3 linked regions of the Saccharomyces cerevisiae S288C genome follow. The gene in region 1 interacts genetically with each later gene. Each region holds a gene or a part of one and is shown in the gene's direction. Other genes may lie near its edges.

Evidence for each region. Genes that interact genetically often act in the same process or in processes that back each other up.
Region 2: mutations in BCS1 (region 1) and CTA1 together harm fitness more than expected from each alone (negative genetic interaction), as found in Saccharomyces cerevisiae (2 studies listed by BioGRID).
Region 3: mutations in BCS1 (region 1) and GID11 impair growth when combined (synthetic growth defect), as found in Saccharomyces cerevisiae (2 studies listed by BioGRID, with this or other methods).

The regions. Positions count from the first base shown.
Region 1 is NC_001136.10:1,224,555-1,228,257, reverse strand, and holds BCS1 (bifunctional AAA family ATPase chaperone/translocase BCS1), read left to right. Parts: upstream 1-1,721; coding exon 1,722-3,092; downstream 3,093-3,703. Other genes in the region: ARH1 (NADPH-adrenodoxin reductase), read right to left, coding at 1-1,436; WIP1 (Wip1p), read right to left, coding at 3,232-3,501.
Region 2 is NC_001136.10:967,633-971,617, reverse strand, and holds CTA1 (catalase A), read left to right. Parts: upstream 1-1,937; coding exon 1,938-3,485; downstream 3,486-3,985. Other genes in the region: RKM4 (ribosomal lysine N-methyltransferase), read left to right, coding at 144-1,628; ubiquitin-protein ligase RMD5, read left to right, coding at 3,796-3,985. UniProt on the Saccharomyces cerevisiae protein: Catalyzes the degradation of hydrogen peroxide (H(2)O(2)) generated by peroxisomal oxidases to water and oxygen, thereby protecting cells from the toxic effects of hydrogen peroxide.
Region 3 is NC_001144.5:437,131-441,392, reverse strand, and holds GID11 (Gid11p), read left to right. Parts: upstream 1-1,569; coding exon 1,570-3,762; downstream 3,763-4,262. Other genes in the region: STM1 (Stm1p), read right to left, coding at 105-926; tethering complex subunit PEP3, read right to left, coding at 3,996-4,262.

The DNA.
Region 1 (3,703 bases):
TTTGACCGAGTTTTGTGTTCCTTTTTGCCCCGAAGCAATTCCTTCTTGTTGATTCTTTCCCAATCCTTCCATGTGGTGTGCTTGATATTAGAGAGGTCGATAGAATTCTCTAAGGATAGCGCTCCGCTGACCACCAAGTCTTGTATTACTCTGTCTCCAACTTCAAAAGCATCTTGCATTGTCGAGGCAATAACGCCCTGGCTGCCCTTACGGATCCAACCAGATGCATATAAATGTGGGAATATTTCTCCGCTGGAAGTTAAAACACGACCCTGTTTATTAGCTATATGATCTTTGTCAAATCCAATAGACAACTTAGAGAATTCAGGCATGGGAACGCCTGCATATCCCAATGAAGTAATCAGCAAATCCACTTTATATGTCATAATATTATTGACGTCCTTCAAGGGTTGCAAACTGTTATCTTCATTTAATCGATTGTTACATAAACTCAAAGAGTTGATTGCACCAAAATCGTCTCTATTAATTTTCAAGGGAGTCTTCAAATAATCTAACTCCCAGAATTTGTCATATCCGCTGCTTGGAGGAGGAGCCTTTTTATAGTTTTTCTTCGAACGTTCATTAAATGGCTTGAGATACTCACTACACATCTCTACTCGTCTATTGAATGCACGATCGTACTTAGATGGGTCAAACATTTCTTTCTGGAAAAATTTAGGATCAATACGGCCACGTATGCCATACTTTTCTAACTCCCATAGTTCTCTTAATTCTTTGTTGGTGAATTTGGAATGAACGAAATCCCTTCGTGCAATTAGCTTAACGTCCTTTACAGGTGCCCTTCTTAGCAAATTTAGTGCAAGAGATGAGATGTCCGTATTTTCCCATATTTCATCAATTTGATTAGAAATAAGTACACGCGTAATATCAAGAGCAACGTTACCGTTTCCTATAATACCAACTTTCGAAACTTTGCTCCAGTCAAAATCGGTAAATCGCTTATCCTTTGCGAAATCAGGATGACCATTGTACCAATTGACAAATTCTCTACTGCTAAACACCCCTTTTGTTCCGAGTTCGCCAGGGATATTCAGCTTTCTGTCCCCTGTACAACCATAACTTAAAATAACAGCATCTTGATTATCCAGCAATTCCTTCAACAATATTTCTTTTCCAATGGTTATACCACCAACAAAGGAAAATTTATGCTTTTGGTTTGTAGGGGAAGAAAACTCTTCTGCACATGTGGTAAACGTTTCTTCACAATTTTTGACTTCTGGATGATCAGGTGCCACACCATATCTACTTAAACCAAAAGGAACAGGTAACTTTTCCCATATAGTAACATTTAATGGAATCGGTGACTTCTTGAGTAAATGGTACGCTGTATAAAAGCCGGAAGGCCCCGATCCAACAATGGATACAGTCTTACGGTTTATTTGTGAAGAAATGTGCCTTATTTGAACAAAGCTCATTTTCACAAGTAATGAGCTAAAAAAGGAAGAAGAAAGAGTGAGAAACTTTCTAAATGAATGAATGAGGCGTTGTGGCCAAGAACTATAGCAAGCAAAAAACTTTCTGTTACGTTCGAGCTATAGTTTACTGCTCTTCGAATTATATCTCGATTGAGTTACCCTTAAAGAGTGCCGAAAAATCGATGTAAATAGTATAAGTAAAGATTTCCACTCTTCTATATTTGCAACGCAGTAGACGTACCAAGGGACGATTTGAAAAAAAATGAAGTGTGCCCTCAATCTACCATGTCGGATAAGCCGATTGACATACAATATGATAAACAGGCTACTCCAAATCTGAGTGGTGTAATTACTCCGCCAACAAATGAAACTGGTAATGACTCAGTCCGGGAAAAACTTTCAAAACTAGTTGGCGATGCTATGTCAAACAATCCCTATTTTGCCGCCGGCGGTGGTCTTATGATCCTTGGTACAGGTTTAGCTGTAGCTAGATCCGGTATAATAAAAGCCAGCAGGGTCCTATACCGACAAATGATTGTCGACTTAGAGATTCAGTCGAAGGACAAATCATACGCCTGGTTTCTAACATGGATGGCCAAACATCCTCAAAGGGTATCTAGACACTTATCCGTTAGGACAAACTACATACAACATGACAATGGATCAGTTAGTACAAAATTTTCGCTGGTTCCGGGTCCGGGAAATCATTGGATTCGTTATAAGGGTGCTTTTATCCTGATTAAAAGAGAAAGGTCCGCAAAAATGATAGATATCGCAAACGGGTCACCATTTGAGACCGTAACCTTAACTACACTGTACCGTGACAAACATTTGTTCGATGACATTTTGAACGAGGCTAAAGACATAGCCCTGAAGACTACTGAGGGCAAGACTGTTATTTACACTTCTTTCGGCCCTGAATGGAGAAAGTTTGGTCAACCAAAAGCTAAAAGGATGCTGCCCTCCGTCATTTTGGACAGTGGCATCAAAGAGGGTATTCTCGATGACGTTTATGATTTTATGAAGAACGGCAAATGGTACTCTGACAGGGGTATCCCATATCGCAGGGGATATTTACTCTATGGCCCTCCCGGATCTGGTAAGACTAGCTTTATCCAGGCTTTAGCGGGCGAATTAGACTACAACATTTGTATTTTAAACCTCTCCGAAAATAATTTAACAGATGACAGATTAAACCACTTAATGAATAACATGCCAGAAAGGAGCATACTATTACTGGAAGATATTGACGCGGCGTTCAACAAAAGAAGTCAAACTGGTGAACAAGGTTTTCATTCTAGCGTAACATTTAGCGGTTTACTGAATGCCCTGGATGGCGTCACATCTTCTGAAGAAACTATTACATTCATGACTACCAATCATCCTGAAAAGCTAGACGCGGCTATAATGAGACCAGGTCGTATTGACTACAAAGTCTTCGTTGGTAACGCAACTCCATACCAGGTAGAAAAAATGTTTATGAAATTTTACCCAGGTGAGACTGATATATGCAAAAAGTTTGTAAATAGTGTTAAAGAATTGGATATCACCGTAAGTACCGCCCAGTTGCAAGGACTTTTCGTTATGAATAAAGATGCACCACACGATGCGTTGAAAATGGTCTCCAGCTTACGGAACGCTAATCATATTTTCTAGGTGCTAAGTGGCGCCTTACTACATAACTTGTATATAATAAAAATTCAGAAGATGCTTTAACTTTTTCTCGTTAATAAGACCGAGTTATTTGCTATTACGAACAAAAGAGTATATGATAAAGAGGCTTAAAAATACCCCTTCATTGACTATCCAGAAAAGCCTGCGTTGCAGCTTCAATATGATAAGGATATACTTCCCTCAAACCTTCTGCAGTTGCCCTTGTTCTAGCATCCAGCAGAATTTTTCTTAAAATGGCCTGAAATCCACATGCCAATAATAATTTCTTGTTATATTCTTGACTAGACTCTTGATCTTCATTTTGCCGTTGGAGAAGATCTTCTAGCTTATTCTCCTCCGCATCTAAACTAAGCTGCCGTAGCAAATAATTGGCCAATGCTTCCGTATCCATGGAAGAATGTTAGGAACTGTTGCTATTGTTGTACTTTGGTTATACGACAGTAAGTAACGTTGACTTGGTGACCGAAAATAGACACGAAATCGCTACCCGTTTCCCCAGAATATCACTCCTCACGATGTACCTCGGCGGCTAATCTTTTTGGTAGCCTTTTGTGATATATATATAAATAAATAAGTATACATACATATATATA
Region 2 (3,985 bases), 260 kb from region 1:
ATGTAATCTTCGAGAGTTACTGCGGGTAATACACACATGTGTCACATATTTTTCTCTCGAGTATGAAAAAATTTCATTACCTTTGTAAAAGCTTAATACGATCATTTCAATATGACTAGTAATAAAGGGGAAAGTTTGCGAAAATGGATGATTTTTCAAGAGATACCGAAAACTTTGTTTGCTGGTTAAAAACTACCGCTGAAATTGAAGTATCCCCTAAGATAGAAATCAAAGATCTTTGTTGTGATAATCAAGGCCGCGCAGTAGTTGCCACTCAAAAGATTAAGAAGGATGAAACATTGTTTAAAATACCTCGTAGTTCTGTTTTAAGCGTTACAACATCTCAACTGATAAAGGATTATCCTTCTCTCAAGGATAAGTTCCTGAACGAAACCGGATCGTGGGAAGGTTTAATTATCTGTATACTTTATGAGATGGAAGTTTTGCAAGAAAGAAGCCGATGGGCGCCTTACTTTAAAGTTTGGAACAAACCAAGCGATATGAACGCGTTAATTTTTTGGGATGATAATGAACTGCAACTTTTAAAACCATCACTTGTCCTTGAAAGAATAGGAAAAAAGGAAGCCAAAGAGATGCATGAAAGAATTATTAAATCAATCAAACAAATTGGTGGAGAATTTTCACGTGTAGCGACGTCCTTCGAGTTTGATAATTTTGCCTATATTGCAAGCATTATATTGAGTTACTCCTTTGATTTGGAAATGCAAGATAGTAGTGTAAATGAAAATGAAGAAGAAGAAACCAGTGAAGAAGAACTTGAAAATGAGCGCTACTTGAAATCGATGATTCCACTTGCTGATATGTTGAATGCAGATACCAGTAAATGCAACGCTAATTTAACTTACGACTCTAACTGTTTAAAGATGGTTGCTTTGAGGGATATTGAAAAGAATGAACAAGTGTACAACATATACGGAGAACATCCAAATTCGGAACTACTAAGAAGATATGGGTATGTTGAATGGGACGGTTCGAAGTATGATTTTGGAGAAGTGTTACTTGAAAATATTGTCGAGGCGTTAAAAGAGACTTTTGAGACGAATACTGAATTTTTGGACAGGTGTATTGATATCTTACGCAATAACGCCAATATTCAAGAATTCTTAGAAGGTGAAGAAATAGTACTAGATTCATATGATTGTTATAATAATGGTGAATTGTTGCCTCAACTAATACTTTTGGTCCAAATCTTGACAATTCTTTGCCAAATTCCAGGTTTATGCAAACTGGACATAAAAGCAATGGAAAGGCAAGTGGAGAGAATTGTAAAGAAGTGTTTACAATTGATAGAAGGTGCCCGCGCCACTACAAACTGTAGTGCCACATGGAAACGTTGTATTATGAAGCGTCTAGCCGATTACCCCATAAAAAAGTGCGTTTCTATCGAAAAACCTTCGAAAGGAAACTCATTAACAAGGGAAGAACTAAGAGATGTTATGGCTCGGAGAGTTTTGAAAAGCGAAATAGATTCGCTGCAAGTTTGTGAAGAAACCATCGACAAGAATTACAAGGTTATTCCTGATGAAAAGCTGCTAACTAATATTTTAAAGAGAAAGTTGACAGAGGAAGAAAAAAGCTCTGTCAAACGTCCTTGCGTGAAGAAGTGAGCGGTTGTTCTAACCACTATTTAAAGCCGCAATTAGTAATGCAAAAAGTTGGCCGGAATTAGCCGCGCAAGTTGGTGGGGTCCCTTAATCCGAAAAAGGACGGCTTTAACAAATATAAACTCCGAAAATCCCCACAGTGACAGAATTGGAGAAACAACCAGTTTTGATATCGCCATACATATAAAGAGATGTAGAAAGCATTCTTCACTGTAATGTCCAAATCGTACATTTGAATTTCTTGTAGGTTTATTTAAAAGGTAAGTTAAATAAATATAATAGTACTTACAAATAAATTTGGAACCCTAGAAGATGTCGAAATTGGGACAAGAAAAAAATGAAGTAAATTACTCTGATGTAAGAGAGGATAGAGTTGTGACAAACTCCACTGGTAATCCAATCAATGAACCATTTGTCACCCAACGTATTGGGGAACATGGCCCTTTGCTTTTGCAAGATTATAACTTAATTGATTCTTTGGCTCATTTCAACAGGGAAAATATTCCTCAAAGGAATCCACATGCTCATGGTTCTGGTGCCTTCGGCTATTTTGAAGTAACCGATGACATTACTGATATCTGCGGGTCTGCTATGTTTAGTAAAATTGGGAAAAGAACGAAATGTCTAACAAGATTTTCGACTGTGGGTGGTGATAAAGGTAGTGCCGACACGGTTCGTGATCCAAGGGGGTTTGCCACCAAATTCTACACTGAAGAAGGTAATTTAGATTGGGTCTACAATAATACACCGGTATTCTTTATCAGAGACCCTTCCAAGTTCCCTCACTTTATCCACACACAGAAGAGAAACCCACAAACCAACCTAAGGGATGCTGACATGTTTTGGGATTTCCTCACCACTCCTGAAAATCAGGTGGCCATTCATCAAGTAATGATCCTTTTTTCAGACCGTGGTACCCCTGCCAACTACCGTAGTATGCATGGTTATTCTGGTCATACCTATAAATGGTCCAATAAAAACGGAGATTGGCATTATGTGCAAGTTCATATCAAAACCGATCAAGGAATAAAGAATTTGACCATAGAAGAGGCTACCAAAATTGCGGGATCCAATCCAGATTACTGCCAGCAGGATTTATTTGAGGCTATTCAGAATGGAAACTATCCTTCCTGGACAGTTTATATTCAAACAATGACCGAACGCGATGCCAAAAAATTACCATTTTCAGTCTTTGATTTGACTAAAGTATGGCCTCAGGGGCAATTCCCTTTACGGCGTGTGGGTAAGATTGTTTTGAACGAGAATCCACTGAACTTCTTCGCACAGGTGGAACAAGCTGCCTTCGCCCCCAGTACCACGGTTCCTTACCAAGAAGCAAGCGCTGATCCAGTATTACAGGCCCGTTTGTTTTCATATGCGGATGCTCATAGATACAGGCTAGGTCCTAACTTCCATCAAATACCCGTAAACTGTCCATATGCATCTAAATTTTTCAATCCCGCTATCAGAGATGGACCGATGAATGTTAACGGCAACTTCGGCTCAGAACCTACATATTTGGCCAACGATAAATCGTACACGTATATCCAACAGGACAGACCCATTCAACAACACCAAGAGGTATGGAATGGGCCAGCTATCCCTTATCATTGGGCAACATCCCCAGGTGATGTAGATTTCGTGCAAGCAAGAAATCTCTACCGCGTTTTGGGTAAACAACCTGGACAGCAAAAGAACTTGGCATATAACATCGGCATTCATGTAGAAGGCGCCTGTCCTCAAATACAGCAGCGCGTTTATGATATGTTTGCTCGTGTTGATAAGGGACTATCTGAGGCAATTAAAAAAGTAGCTGAGGCAAAACATGCTTCTGAGCTTTCGAGTAACTCCAAATTTTGAAACGCTCAAGTAACAAATGAGTGGCGTTGTTTCCACGACAATTATTTATGATAGTGTGTATTTTTAACACATTTTATTTATTACAATTTATGTATTTTGTTATGAATTATTTATTTATACGACTAATAGGTGATGCTCATATTCTCGTGTTAGAAAGTTAAAAAAATTATCATTTCACACATAGGAAAGCTCGTCGCGCCGGGGAAAAAGCTGAGGAATCTCTATTATTAGGGGTAAAGTTCAACACATTCAGTATGAGATAAGTGTGTCTTCAAGAGAGATGCAGCACTGAGTAGGGAACCAAGAAACGATGTCTGAATTACTAGATAGCTTTGAGACAGAGTTTGCGAAATTTTATACCGACAGCAATCTGGAAGAGACAAACCTTCAAAAATGTCTTGATCATACTCATGAATTCAAGAGTCAATTAAAGAAGTTGAAAGCGCACTTAAACAAGCATATTCAGGAATCAAAACCAGAAGTCTATAATAAGCTGAGTG
Region 3 (4,262 bases), on another chromosome or scaffold:
CAAATTATATAGTAAATAACCAATTAAAATAATAATAGTAATAGAAACAGAAAGTAGAACACTGTTATTGGATTCTTTCAGTTGGAATTATTCATATATAAGGCTTAAGCCAAAGATGGCAAGTTAGAAACGTCAATGTTACGGTTCTTTTGAACGGTGTTAGCAGAGTTAGTAGCGTTAGCAGTGTTGTTACCCTTTCTAGCGCCTCTACCACCACGACGGTTGTTGAAGTTGTTTCTGCTGTTGTTGTTTCTGTCACCGAAGTTCTTTCTAGTGTTAGATTCAACAAAAGTGGCATCAAATTCCAAGTACTCCTTGGTCTTCAATTGCTTAGATTTGACGTTCTTGACCTTGGTTGCTGGAACGTAAGCTTCCTTTTCAGCAGTTTCAATTCTTTCAGCGTCTAATTCAACCTTCTTAGCTTCTGGGACCTTGTTGAACTGGTTGTTAGCTTGTTGGTTCAAGTAGTCTTGCAAAGACAATTGAGCGGTCTTTGGCTTACCAGCGTCTTCAGCTTCTGCAGCGTCTTCAGCAATTTCAGCAGCAGCATCGGCTTGAGCTTCCTTTTCAGCACTCAATTCCTTCTTGTCATCACCCCAACCTTGGTTAACCTTCTTCTTGGTGTCAGTCTTACCAGTTCTAGAGTGGCGGTCAGTGGCCCTTCTGGTGTTGGACTTCTTGGTGGTGGCAGAGTCAGTGACATCCTTTGATCTGTTGTTTCTTCTACCAGCGGTCTTGTCTCTGATAGCACCCTCGTTACCAGAAGGTCTTGGTCTGTTCTTTCTAGCCTTGGATGGGTCAGCGGATGGAGGTGGGACGTCAGCCTTCTTGGAGGAAGTGTTGCTCTTGACGATTTCCTTTGGTGGCAAAACGACAACGTCAGCGTCTTCGACGTCGTTACCTAACAAATCAAATGGGTTGGACATTGAGAATAAAATGTGTATGCTTTCTTGGTTTATTTCTACTTCACCTCTAAAAGAATACTGTGGGGGGAAGAGAAATTTGCAAAGAAATAACTTCTAATTTAAAACTACGAAGCAGAAAAAAAAATCTTCCACAATAAACCAAGTATACAACTAAAACAAGCGAAGGAAGGAAGAAGAACAAAGGGGATATCGACTCAAAATCAAATATTACAAGGAAAATACCATATAATTTCTCTACTCAGTTAGGGCTTCCTCTACGCAACGATGATATCAAAATTGAAAAAAAAATTTCTTTTTGCGTTGGTGCGAACTTTTGGGAACACTTTCCATTCCAATAATTTCACTTTCCTTTATCTTTCTAAACGGTGATGTTACCCGTCTAAATAACAACATGGTAGCGCCATATGTTATACGGCTACAACTTTGTGTCACGTGACATTGAACGGCTTTAAAGCGGAGTATGATCTCTTTTCTGAGGCAATAAGGGGTGATGATCAGAAAGTGAGGAGGAGGAGACTCTGGATTAAAAGCCTATTACAACTTTATTCTAGTACAAAACTTTTGCTGATTAAGCAACGACAAGTAAGATCGAATAAAGTGGTAGAAAAACAGCAATAAGTTACAAAAGTATACGTGTTAAAGAATGACCATTGATGGCACGGGGCAATCTAAGGAGGCGCTGCAAGATGAACGGTTAAATACTGGCTCTGATAAGGTTTACCAAAACTATATGATGCCTGCTTTAGAACTCTACGATGCCAAGGTCTCCATAAACCATTGGCAGTTGCGGGATTGTATCAAACCAGGCTCCATGAACCAGAGTAAACTGTATTATATTTACGATCATTCGATAAGAGTACTAGATACGGATTCTTCCGTATTGAGGTCTCCAGTAAGGCGACATAATTCTATTCAACCGAGTAACAGTGGTAAAAACTCTACTGAAAAAACGTCTACAAAAGGTTCTAGGACAACGGGCTCGTATATCTCCAAAAATTTACATGTTCCTTCCGAGAAACTGGTAGAGTTCAACTTTAAGCCGAGATGTTTCACGGAATTAAATGGGTTGACTGTTTGTGGTGGTCTAATCGGTTCTGATGATAAGGGATTCCCTTCTAATTGGAACCGTTTAGCTCAAGATGCAAATATTTCGTTGCCGCCACCTTCCCAACCGATTAATATTTCCAAAAATATTAGTTTCCCTATAAATTCACATTATTCAAATCCTAATATCTGGAAGGGCATCGTGGAGTTTTATAATCAAGAAACGGACACAATGATGACTTTTACGTTGGGCCAGTTCATCAATAATTGTGTCACACTTTATGACAGGGCCAGTATGCAGTTTGATCTTTTTGCATGCAACAATGATGGTCATCTTTACCAATGCGATGTAAGTAATAGAGATGTAACACTAGTGAAGCGTTATGCGGATTTAAAATTTCCTTTGAATAACGCTTCTTTGTCACATGATGGTCAAACGATGGTAGTGTCTGGCGATTCTAATAAATTTGCTGTTTACAATCAAAATGAATTAACCAACCAATTCTCCTTACATTACGATAATCATCCTTCCTGGGGTAGTTCTGTCAATCGTGTTAGACGGATACCACGGTTTGCGTTACCTGATGAATCAGAATATATCGAAAACATATATGAAGCTCCAAATTCAGACCATGGGTTTTATAACTCTTTTTCCGAAAACGACTTGCAATTTGCGACGGTATTTCAAAATGGTACTTGCGCAATTTATGATATCAGAAACATGGCTACTCCCATGGCAGAAATTAGTTCGACTAGACCACATTCCCACAACGGTGCATTTAGAGTCTGTAGGTTCAGTTATGGCCTAGATGATTTATTATTCATTTCTGAACATCAGGGCAGAGTACACGTTGTAGATACAAGAAACTACGTTAACCACCAAGTTATTGTTATTCCTGATAAAGTTAATATGGAATATATAAACGAACGGAAGCATAATACAAATCATAATTTCACCACAAATAATAACAACGAAAACGAAAGTAATGATAGCAAAAATGAATTACAAGGGGCGGATTATCGGTCTTTATCAAGAAGAAGATTTTCGCTGCCCTCTATGCCAAATGTAACCACAGAACCATGGATAACTATGGCTCAAAGAATCCCAAAAAAGTATTTGGAGCCGCAAATTCTACCTTTTCCGAAAGTTATGGATAAAATTAGTAACGAATCGGTTCTGTTTTCTACGAAAGGTAGTTCATCAAGTGACGTAGCTCATCCATACAAGAGACGATGTTCATTCAGGGTAAGGAGAGTATCGACTTCGGCACCAACCGCCGATTATTCTAATAACAATGTTAACGCAAGTCTTGGCACACCTGCTGCTGATTCTATCGCAACTTCGTCGTCAAATTCCGCACCTCAAAATTTAATTGACCCCTTAATACTTTCTCACCAGCAAGCTAGTAATGATGTTTTTGAAGATGATGAATATTATGAAGCTTACAATGATGTTCACTCAACGTATCGTGTTTCTTCAGACTATCATGGTGTTTCCGCAAGAGCTTTTGAAAGTTTTCTCAGACCACCTTCAACGCCAGACTTACCGTCAGATGATGACAATTTTGCTGCAAATAGTAGGAATAATAGAGGCACATCCAATTTTTTGAGAAGACCAGTGATTACAACTCAGGAAAGTAACGAATTCTCAGAAGAAAACAATATATCAGGTATCGATTGGGTTGAAGATAGGAATGGGAGCTCCTTGATTATTGGTACAGATTACGGAATTATGAGGTGGAATATTAACTCATGGGCAAGAAGAAGTTTCTCTAGTTATGACTTATGTTGAACTTCAGCCATACATATATTGTGATTTTAATTCACCCGTTTTATTACTCTTTGAAAATACAAGGTTTTTCCCCGATAATTTTACGTTTTATTCATTTTTGATACGCATTTTTTTTACTTCTTGGCTATTTAGGTAAGTAAATACTCGACACATATTTTAGTCAGATAATAGTAATGATATTTATCTTCCCTCTTTTAATTTCAGTGTTTCAGCCTGACTAAAAAAGAATACTACTATTCATTCCATTTGGCTAATTCTGTTTCATCAATAGATATTGGCTGATCAATTTTATTGATGTTGATATCACTGCACAATCCACATTTCTCTACAATGATATTTTCTAAATCATTCAAATTATGCTTACTTTTGGCCTTTAAGAAGTTTTCCGTCTTCTGCCTCAAGTTATAATCATTTGAGTTCAGTATTACCCTGATTATACAGTTCCAGTGAAAACAGTGGCCACAGGGGAAAACAATGAACTTTTTGATCTGTAGAAATTT